Cricetulus griseus: one gene and its partners. The protein of the gene in region 3 interacts with the protein of the main gene of each other region in a biochemical or structural test. Links are inferred from orthologs where the notes say so. Each region holds a gene or a part of one and is shown on either strand. Other genes may lie near its edges. The genes, in order: Pak1, Ywhaz and Bad.

Region 1 (3,647 bases), about 49 Mb from region 3:
GTAGGCATTCAGTGTTTTAATGTGTAAAAGAATTGAAAAATAGTGAAAAAAATGCTGTAAGATAATAAAGACAAATATAAATATCCCATAATACCTTATGAAATAACAAGGTCTCTTTGGTGAATGTTACAGTTACTATTATTTAATTACCATCTCACCAAAGACACAGACCCACATATAGGAGCGTTATCATTCCTAAGACTCATACTTACTTAACTTGACAGAGCCATCCATTCCCAGCAGAATGTTGTCACTCTTGATATCTCTGTGAATGACTTGGTTCGAATGTAGGAATTCCAAAGCTTGTAGACACTGTTGAAGTAGTGTGCAAGAAGAAGAAACATATAATCAGAAGACTAACAATAATCTAACCTTCTCATTTTAAGATAAAGGAAGTAAGGCTCCCAGGAAGAGTCAGACCTGCCCCACATAAAGAGGCAGAGCCAGCTATATAACCAAATCTTCTCTCTCCCAACAAAATATTCTTTTAAAACATTATGGGGCAGGGTGTGGGTGGAGAAGGTTGAAGAGATGGCTCAGTGACTACACTAGGCAGCTTACAACTGTCTGTCACTCCAACCTGAGGGTATCCTATGCCTTTGGCCTCCTTGGGCATTCACATACATGTGCACTTAACCCTCCACCCAACACACAACACACACAACTTAAATTTTAATTTAAAACTGCATGCTGGCTTCGTCTTTTCTATCATTATATTTGCATGTCTAGGAAAGGAGACACATGGAAGTGATGTTTGTAGACAGTTTGGGGAAAGGAAGTCTGTATTATTTTGGACACAATGAATTTGACAACCCTATGAAACATGAAGACAAATGTTCAGTGGGCACCTGAATTTATCTTAAGTTCTATACAGAGACTGATATTTACAAATAATTTACAGAGACAGATTTTTTTTCAGCACTGAGAAGTGAAATATGGCCTCATAAATACCAAGCATACACTCTCTCACTGACCCACACTACCAGCTCAAATAGACTTTTATTTCTTTTTGGTTTTTCAAGACAGGGTTTCCAAAGCTTTGGAAGCTGTCCTGTAACTTGCTCAGTAGACAGGGCTGGCCTTGAACTCACGGAGATCCACCTGTCTCTGCCTCCTAAGTGCTGGGATTAAAGACATGCACTACCACTGCCGGGCTGCCGGGCTACAAATAGATTTTTTTTAAGGTTTAGAAATGATTATAACAAGTAAAGGTTATGAGAAAAATCTTAAAAAAAAAAAAGGAAGAAAGAAAAGGAACAAGACAAAGCACCTATTGTGATGATTCCCCAACACATACACACGAGCTTAAACACTTATTTACCCAACAGAATGAGTGACAAATGGTACAATGAAAATGTCTGGTTCTGGGCAAGTAAGATGGCTTAGAGGGTAAAGGAGTGTGCCACCAAGCTTTATAACCTAAACTAGATTCCTGGAATCTACAAGCTGGAGTTGTCCTTTGACCTCCACATGTACACTATGGCATGTACACATCCACATACATGCATGCACACATACACATATACACAAATGCAAAGTGCAAAGAAATTGTTTTCTTTCTTCTCTTTTCTTTTTCTTTTTTCTTTCTTTTTTTTTTTTGTTTGTTTTTTTCGAGATAGGGTTTCTCTGATCTATACTCTCAAGAAACCAATTGTTTAAAAGAAAAAAATCCATACCCTTTAATAGTCACTTCACAAATACACTGAAAATGGTGAATTATATGCTTCATGGGGATGAAGTATATGGCATATGAATGTATCTCAATAAGCTGTTTCAAAAGTGGTAACGATATCCATCATAGTTTAAGAATAACAATAGTACTTATTTAAATAACATTTATACTTTCTTGCCAAGTTTTTTGTTGGTACAGTTCTGGGGAGCAAACTCAGGGCTTGTGTCAAGATGTTATTTATTTTATTTATTTTTACTTGGAGTGAGGTGTATGTGTGCCACAGAGCACATCTGGAGGTCAAAGTACAATGTTGAGAAGTTGTATCTCTCCCTCCTTCATATGGGTTCCAAGGATTGAACTCAGGTCACCAGGCTTTCATCTCAAGGGTAGAGGTGAAAACAAGTTAAATAATGTAATGATTTTTGAACCTCCAAAGGGCAGCTATATGTACACAATTATCCATTGTATCTGTAGTATTAAAATTTCATAGGAAGAATGTTATGGGGGGGCTTCTGGGGAATCATCATTTATTTATTTGTTTGTTTTTGAGACAAGGTTTCTCTGTGTAACAGCTCTGGCTGTACTGGAACTCACTTTATAGGTTGGGCTGAACTCATAGAAATCTGCCAGCCTCTGCCTCCCAAGTGCTGGAATTAAAGGCATATGCCACCATATCGGTTTTCGCCTGGAGTCAATTTTTCCTAGAATTTTGCTGGCTTGCCTCTACATGTCATTCAGAAGCATATTCAAATCAAGGGTGGAACTTTCTCTGACTACCTATCTGAAGTATGACACTACCTTCTTACCAGCGTTATTTCTTTCACAGTACACAAAGCAGGGAGGCAGGAAAAAATGGTTCAAATGTATGTCCAAATGTATGTAAAAGAGATTAAGAGAAATATTATGTGTTAGAATAGCTGTAATTACAGATTTAAAGAATAAATGACTGCTTTAGTATATACTTCTGGGTACCTTTTAATTTTTCTATCATGGTTGGAATGTTAGCTTTAGAGAAAAATATCATGATTATAGAAATTATAAAATACAATAATATAGTATGAATGGTAAGTGCCAGAACTAACTTCTCCCAGTTCCACAGAACCCAGACTGAAGCCTCTTTTGGGTGTGAACATTCATGGACGGTAATATAGAGGTCACTTCCTGTTTTACCCTTGGCCTTACCTCTCGGCACACAGCTGCTATCTGGCCTTCATCCATACAGGTTTCTGTCACCACATCTGTCAAAGAGCCTCCAGCCAAGTATTCCATGACAACCCATAACTCATCTCCCACAAGGTAACTACAGGAAAACAAGTATAGGGCAAGAAGGAATAGTTAGAACACATTAAGGCATTGCAGTGGATTTCAAAACCAAGGGACTAGGATAGAAAGGAAAATATCTCAGTCAGCTTTTGAAGAGTCTAGGGTTCTTTACTCTGAGAAAAGTACAAAATTTGGAGGACATAATCAGTAATTTTAAATCACTTAGGGATAGACCTGGAAAAAACAAAACATACATGGTCTGTGAAGTCCCAAACACTAAAATTAGAATACTAGGTTGAAATATAAAATTACATTTTATTGAAATAGCAAGGGATACCTCCTAAAACTAGAAAGACTAGCATTGTTCTCATACCTGTAAAAGCATACAGGCAGTACATGTTATAGGGATGGGATCTGGAAGCCATATTACCATCAAAAGGGAGGATCATAGGACCTCCTTGAGAGTTCTACTAGATCTGAGATCTACAAGGTCTAGTTCAAGACCCTAGACCCAGGGTCCAACACAATAGATACCAACACTTACTGAATAAATCCATGAGTAAAATAATATGTATGTTAAATATATATTACTATAATATATATTAAGTGAAAGTGTGTCGATAAGTCTTTAAAAGCTGTAAAATGTACACAAGGTTACTACTATGCTGACAATGACTTTTATTTTGAGTTTCTAGGATTTTAGCCTCTTCTA
Region 2 (3,747 bases), on a different chromosome or scaffold from region 3:
TCTTTTGAAGTGTTAGTCACCTACGAAGTGAGTCACTCCCTGCAAGAGTCTCCATGAGAGCCTGCATCGGTTTGCTCATCTATCTGTTTTAGCGGTGCTGTGGATCTGTGGATGTGCAGACTCGGGGTGGGTGGGTCAGGGGAAAGCGATCACAGGCAACTCTCGAGCTACCTATCTGCCATTTCAGGGAAATGATCATTTGTAGAGCAAGCTTATGACCAGACCATGTATCCGACAGACAGACACTGAGTTGGGGGAAGAACAGCTTGTCGTGGAATCTTCTGGAGAGCTATGGGCTGAATACTTTTTCCCCCCTTTTCTTTTTTCCAGCCAGCAGGAGCTGGGTAAAGGCGTTTGCTTCAACTCAGGACGCACGTTTAAAGGACGCAAGGGCACACGCTTCACGCTGAGAATGCTTCTCCCTCCGCTTCCGTCTGCTGGGTGGAGACCTTGCGGGTGCAGGCACCTGCAATTTCCGCCCTCTTCCTACCCCCTCTTCCGGGCCCAGGCGCTCCCGCCCCTGCTCGGGCGAGCGGCCCCCCTCCCACTGTCAGATGGGGGGCCCCGAGAGCGAGCAGCCAGTATCCCCAAGGTGGCTCCCAGGACCTAAAAGGCTCTTTGAGAGCGTTAAGTGGAGACAACGAGCCTCCCCGTCAAAGCCCGGCTGTGTGTGTGTGTGGGGGGGGGGGGGCAACAGTGCAGCGCCCGGAGATCGGCTCGCTGTGTGAGCCTGTGTCCCCCCAGCTCGCACAAGCCCTTCCCCTCTCCTCCCGGAGACCCCCCATTGTCTCCCTGGCTGTCACGGTCTGTGCGGGGCGACAGGAGGGACAGCGGGCGGCTCGCCCGAGCCTTAAAAGGTCTAAGGCCGCTTTACTGCAGCGGTGGGCGAGCGGGCGAGCTAGCAAGCGGCCACGCCCGCTGCCGCCCCGCAACCGGGGCTCTGATCACAATGCCCCGGCCGCAGAGCCCGCCGTCATTACCGGGGCGGCCGGGAGGGGGAGGGGCGGGTGGGGGGGGGGGAAGACGCGAAAGGTCCCGGATGTGCCCGCCAGTAGAGGTGTAGGGGGGAGGGAGCGGCTTCCTTCCGCGGGCCGCAGGGGCGGCGCGGGAGGGAGGAGGGAAGGAGGAAGGAGGGCGGCTCGCGGGGGCGGCGGGGGCGAGCCGAGCGCGCGGGAGGAGGAGGAGGAGGAGGCAGGGTCGGGGACGCGCTCTCCCTGAGCTCGCCTCGGGCGGGCAAGCGAGCGGGTGGGCGGGGCGGGCGCGCGCCGGGGGAGCGGCGGTTGCGCCGGGCACCAATCAACGGTTGCCATAGCAGCGTTTGACGTCATTGTGCGTGTGGTGCCCCTGCTGCCGGGGCTAGTGATTGGAGGAAACCCCGTGTCTGCGGAGCCGCTGTAGCCTGTGAGCAGCCAGATCAGGGACAGAGTCTCAGCCTCGCCGCCGCCGCCGCCCAGGGACACTGCCGACCGGGTCCGTGTGCCGCCACCCACTCCGGACACAGGTGAGCAGCCTCCCGGGCTGGCCCCTCCGCCGCTCGCCCGCCCCGCCGCGGCGGGCGTCCCCAAGGATCCTGGACCCGGGCGGCGGCTCGTCCCGCCGAGCCCCGGGCGAGCGCCCACGGCCGCCCCCGGGCCGCTTGCTGCTGGCCCTGCCGGGGTGCTGGTCGCCCCGTCCGCCCGTGTCCCGTGTCCCCGGGGGTGGGGGTGGCGGAGGAGGCGCCCACGCGCGAGACCCTCCCGGGTTTGGGGGGGGTAGGGCTGAAGCTCGGGCGAGCGGGCGAGCGCCATCCGCCCCCGCCGGCACCCGCTTCCGCCGCGGCTGGGACCGGGGCCGTGGCGCAGGTGAGGCGGCCCCCACCCCGCCGTGGCGCCCCCGCCGCCCCTCCCCCGCCGCGCGGGCAGCCAGGTAGCGCGCGCGCGAGAGAGAGCGAGTCTCCGGGGTGGGGCCGGCTCGCCCTCCCGCTTGCCCTCCCGCCGGGGACCCGGGGCTGAGCTTCCTGGGTCCCTCTCGGTGGCTCACTCGCTCGCACGCTCGCACACTCGGTGGGTGGGTGGGTGGTTGGGGGAGGGGCTCGGCCTGGGCGCCCCGGGGACGCAGGGGGGTCTCCGGCCGGGTGGGAGGTGAGCATCCTTCGGGGAGAGCGGGGGCTGCGCCGGTCTGGGTGGGGCCCGGCCCCTCCCATCCCCCTCCTCCTCCTCCGCAGCTGTCGGGGGCGGGAGGGGGGACCCCGGGAGGGAGAGAGCGGGGTGTGTCCGGTGCGGGTCGGCCGCCGTCGGTTCCGCTCGTGCGGGCGCCGCTGGCTGGCATCGGGGGGCCCCCTCCGGGTAGGGCGAGCCGCTCGCCGCCGCCTCCTCCCCCCCACCTCCACCACCCCACCCCACCCGACCCGACCGCTCCTCCCTCTCGGCTCGGCGGTGCTCGGGTTGGGTTGGGCTCCTTGACACAGTTCCGCCATGACAAAGAGAGAGAGAGGGCGAGCGAGCGAGCCGGGGACCGGCGGAGGCGCCAGCCTGGGCGGAGCCAAGAAGGGGAGGTGGCTGCGGGCGGCGCGGACGCGAGCGAGGACTGGCGCTGGCTTTAAAAAGTCTGGGGCGCGGTTTCGGCTCGCCCCCGCTCGCCCGCCCGCCCGCCCCGGGCAGGCGAGGGTTAAGTGGGTGCGGCGAGGGCTCCCGCAGTGTAGATGCTGGTTCTTCGTGTGCTTCCCGCGGGGAACCGGGCGGCTGAGGTCGGCGGGGGTGGGGCCGCCGGGGCCGCGCTGACATCACTTCCCAGGGCCGTTTCTGGTGTGAGGTTTCCAGACCGCAAAGGGTTAACTCGGCCTAGCCAGGCCCCGGCGCTTGTTTCAGTTGAGGATGCTTCTCATTGATTTAACGCCCCCTCCCTCCCCACACCACACCACCCCTCCCCACCCCCCAAAAAAGCGATTTCTGGAAAGGTTAAAGGAAAGGGTGCGATGGTGGCCTTGGGTGGTGGCGGTGCATTGGGCAGTGACTGTCATGGAAATTCATTTCCTGGGATCCCTGTGGTTGAGAACCGTGCTCTTGACCCCGTTCAAGGAAAGAAAAAAAAAAAAAGTTGATCAGAAATAAATTGGGATCTAGGGAACTTGAACTGCAAAGGAGATTGGCGGAGAAGACGTTAGGGCCGACTTAATAAATGGTGACTTGGAGAAAAGCCATGCAGGGGGAGTCTGCACCTAAACTGCAGTGTGACATCGCAGGGGGCGCCTGCGCTTGGGTTGGCCCTGAGTGCTCGCTCCCTGCTGCGCAAAGTGTGCATGTAACTCCATGTAGATGGGTCTGTCTGGTCTCGGGGCGAGTGATCCCTAGTGGTTTTATATTCAGGGTATCCTAAGCATCAGTCAGTCAGTTTCCTCAGATAGTTTTCATCCAGGAAGTGTAGCAGATCGGGCTGGAGAAAGTGCTAGGTAAAAGGTAATCCACTCGGGGTCAGAGTGCACACACTGAAGGTTAGCTGGCCTGACTCACGGTTCTGCGAGTGGAGTGCTCTTCATGGACCTTCTAGGTCCGGATCTGGAGTGTTCTCCCCAACGCACTCACGCACACACACACTCACACACACTCACACTCACACTCACACTCACACTTACCCTCTCACTGTAGGGAAAGGTGGTGAAGTGTAGGTCACTCTGCATTGGGATTAAGTTGAGCTTTTTAAGAAAACAAGTGTGTTGGAATACACAGCAAGGGACAGCAGGCTGAGCGATGACAGGTCTGTGTCACAGCT
Region 3 (3,647 bases):
GGGGCTGCCCCCTCCCATGTTCCGGGAAGCAGGGTTGTGGCGCAACTTATCTGCATATCCAGCGCAAAGCACTGGCCTGGGCTATAGGGGCGCCAATAAATCTCTGAACTGAGCTCTGGGCCCCGCTCCAGGTCCCCATGAGAAGCTTCTCCGTTCCCTAGTGATTGTGTCGCCCCGCCCAGCGTGCCCCGCCAGGTCCCTGAGCAGCACAGGCCCCAGGCCGGTCACACAGTAGCTGCTCACAAGGACTGACCCAAATAGGAGCAAATGACCCCCCACCCCCCGCCCCGGGGGAGCCGCAGCATGGTTTGTAGAGCGCTGAATTCCGGCGGCCGGCTGGCCTGCAGCTCCCAATTACCATATTAGAGATAAGGGCCTGGCGGTCCCAGGGGTCTGGCCAGGATCCGCTCCCTCACCACTAAGCCTAGCAGCCGGGCTCCGCTGGCCACCTCGACTTCTTGATCTCAGTCCTTGGACGGAGCCTGTTTCCCTTACGGGTAAAAGGAGTCGCTTAAAGTTATCAGAAATAGTCCGGTTTGCGGAACCCCAAACGAAGGACGGAAGATGCGGTAGCACAGGCGCGGGCTTTATTATAAAGCACGTTTGTTGCGACCACGAGCTCCCAGTTCACATAATAGGGCTGCAGCCAAGTCACGATGTAACCCGGCTCGCAATTTGGCGCAGGAGGGCAGCCCGGTACGGGAAAGGGGGAAAAGTTGCCGCTTCCGGAAGTTGGGGTAGCGCAGGCGCCAGCCTGGTACTGGAGAGAGGGAAAAGTTGCCACTTCCGGAAGTTGGGGTGGGGGAGGCGGAAACTTTTAAACTTCCAACGAGAACCACCCCTTCGTGGCTATTGCACGCACCGGAAGGGAGTCTAGCCGTTGGCCAGTTCTCCCAGTTAAAGGGACACAGCGACCCCCTTTTTATCCCCACGGCTTCGGAAAACTTCCGCCCACACCCAATATGGCGGGCGACGGGAGCGGGTAGAGTTCCGGGAATGTGGAGCAGAAGATCACTGAGAGGGGGCGGAGCCTCCTTTGCCCAAGTTTCGATCCCACCAGGACTGGATAATGCGCGTCCAGCTGGCGCTTTGTCGCATCTGTGTTGCAGTTCCTGCGCTCTTTGGGCGAGGAAGTCCCTTCGGGGAAGGAGAGTAAAGAGTTAAATGAATGAGCCTCGCCCTGTGGTCCCGAATCAACTCCCCACATTGAGTTGGAATATAAAGATCACTGCCACCTACACTTGGAGGTCAGACACGCTATTAGATGAGAGGGCTCTCAGGAATCGGGATTGGTTGGAGCCCAGAGACTGCTGGGACCCTAAGTGAAACCTCAGAGCCAGAGGTTTCACGACAGGGGGCGGATTAGAACTGCAAGTCCCGGCATGCCCTGGAACACGAAAGGGACAACCTGGTGGTTCTGGAACTACAAATCCCGAAACGCCATAGATAGCAGACGGGGCAAGCGGGTGTAGGTCCCGTCGCACCCTACGCAGGCGCTCACCTTGAAGGAACCCTCAAACTCATCGCTCATCCTTCGGAGCTCGCGGCCGTAGCGCTGCGCAGCCCAGAGATTAGGGGGAGCCGAACGTGAGCGGCCGCGAAATGGGCTGAGCTCCTCCTCCATCCCGTCATCCTCCTCGTTCCCCGCGGTGTATGAACTGTGGCGACTCCGGATCTCCATAGCCCCAGTGCCTGCAGGGATGGGGTGGAAGAGGTGTGAATCTCGACCCGCTGTTCACACTCGCCTTCCAATAGTCCCAATTCCTCCTTTGCAAATGGAGGGAGCTCAGAGTGCCAGTACGCCTTTAGTGTACAAAAGACTTTCTACTGTGCCTTTCCAAAATAGGGGCATAAGAGATAACTATCACATAGCAACTCCTAACTAGGGAGGAGTCCTGCTTAGTCTTTGCAAGGGTCTTGGAGAACAAGAAGTCTCTACATTCCATATTTTGTGGCGACAATGTCTAGAACTGTGGGTTTCTTTGTTTTGTTTTATTTTTCTGAGACTATCCTCACCACCTGGTTCTACAGATCGACATAGAAGTTTGTCCTGGGCGTGGTGGTTCATATTTATAATACCAGCACTGGTGAGGTGGAAGCCGGAGGTTGAGTTCAAGGCCACATTCTACTACAGGAGAACATGTAGTCTTTCTTTTCTCACAAATGGGGGGATGGGAGGGAGATAATAGCTACACAGGTGTTCAGAGAAGTCAGTTTTCTCAGGTTGACAAGGCTGCTAGCCCTGAGGTCCGAAGTCCCTGGGTTTGGATCCCAGAGTCCATCATCAGGCTGTGCAACTCCTGCCTTGACCAGCCACCCTTCAATTCCAAGTTAGTTTCCCTTCATGAAGGAGTCTTCCTACCCTGCATACTAATGCACCAGTGTGAAGTTCTCATGCAAGTGTAGCCATGCCCTGTGAGCTGCCAATGAATTGAGTGATCTGCTTCTCTGATCTAGATACTGTGTCCTGACCTCTGTCATCTGTACCCCTTTGCCCAGACCAGTGAAGACCCAGAACTACTCCCAGGGGCAGAGTCCATAGCTAGGCACAGCCTGCTGCCCACACCCAGGTGTCTGCAGGGAAAACTTGGGAGGAGGTAAAATCACCCCCAGGTTTGGGGGCTGAAAAGTTTGCCTCCCTTTCTCAAAGGTCAATGGGCAGAACTCTGCAGCTCAGCTTGAGGCCTGAGGATCCCAGCTGCAGACATGTAACAGAAAGCCAGAGGGAAGGACGGAACCATCATGAAAGGCCTGGCCTGGGACTGCTCACAGCACCTGGCCAGAACATACCATTGCTCATCTACAGAGTATTACAGGGGACTACTCAGCAGCTAGGTAGGTCCCCTTTTGTGACCGTGAACCCACTTCCCCAATTCCCTGGCACCTCAGTGGTCTTTGTGGCATGGGGACAGCCTGCCTCACAGAATCATCATGAGAACAGATAAGGCAGGAAAGCACTCCACCTTGTCCTGTGAGCAGCCATGGTTTTTTGGCTCCTGTATGGCAGATGTAGAGTTCTCCCACCTTACAGAGAAGAGAGCCAGAAGCTGAAAGGAATATGCCTGAGTCTCCTGGTGGTACACCCTATCTGCATTGAATAATGGACCCACGCCCTAGAACCACAGCTTTCAGGTGCTATGCTGGCAGGAAGGTGAATGACTTTCAGGTGGCCTTGGTGGGAGCTCAGTGACATCACCACCCCCTTCACTAAGGGCTGGTGAGACTGCTCAGCCAGTAAAGCTTCCAGTATAAGCCTGAAGACCTGAGTGGGAACCTTGGAATCTATTTAAAGTGGGAAGGAGAAAACGACCTCCACAGCCAGGCGTTGATGGCACATGCCTTAAATCCCAGCACTAGGGAGGCAGAGGCAGGTGGATCTCTGTGAGTTCAAAGCCAGCCTGGTATTCAGAGTGCCAGGACAGGCTCCAAAGCAATACAGAGAAACCCAGTCTCGAAAAACAAAACAAACAAAAAAAGAGAAAAAGAAAATGACCTCCACATACTGTCCTCTGACCTGCAACAGCACTTGGGCACTATGGCACATGTGCTCCTTCTCCCAACAAATCTGCTTTCATGAGCAGGGTTAAATCCTTGCTTAGGGGCTGGAGAGATGGCTCAGAGGTTAAGAGCACTGACTGCTCTTCCAG

Evidence for each region.
Region 1: of the proteins of Bad (region 3) and Pak1, one has a biochemical effect on the other in vitro, tested with the Homo sapiens proteins (3 studies listed by BioGRID). The link is inferred for Cricetulus griseus from reciprocal best matches to the Homo sapiens genes BAD and PAK1.
Region 2: the proteins of Bad (region 3) and Ywhaz form a complex in vitro, tested with the Homo sapiens proteins (3 studies listed by BioGRID). The link is inferred for Cricetulus griseus from reciprocal best matches to the Homo sapiens genes BAD and YWHAZ.

Annotation. Positions count from the first base shown.
Region 1 is NC_048596.1:101,611,272-101,614,918, forward strand, and holds part of Pak1 (serine/threonine-protein kinase PAK 1), read right to left. Parts: intron 2,973-3,647; coding exon 2,855-2,972; intron 313-2,854; coding exon 213-312; intron 1-212. UniProt on the Homo sapiens protein: Protein kinase involved in intracellular signaling pathways downstream of integrins and receptor-type kinases that plays an important role in cytoskeleton dynamics, in cell adhesion, migration, proliferation, apoptosis, mitosis, and in vesicle-mediated transport processes.
Region 2 is NC_048603.1:14,723,547-14,727,293, forward strand, and holds the start of Ywhaz (14-3-3 protein zeta/delta), read left to right. Parts: upstream 1-1,361; 5' UTR 1,362-1,501; intron 1,502-3,747.
Region 3 is NC_048596.1:52,504,708-52,508,354, forward strand, and holds the end of Bad (bcl2-associated agonist of cell death), read right to left. Parts: intron 1,693-3,647; coding exon 1,502-1,692; intron 1,138-1,501; coding exon 1,012-1,137; 3' UTR 566-1,011; downstream 1-565. UniProt on the Homo sapiens protein: Promotes cell death. Successfully competes for the binding to Bcl-X(L), Bcl-2 and Bcl-W, thereby affecting the level of heterodimerization of these proteins with BAX. Can reverse the death repressor activity of Bcl-X(L), but not that of Bcl-2.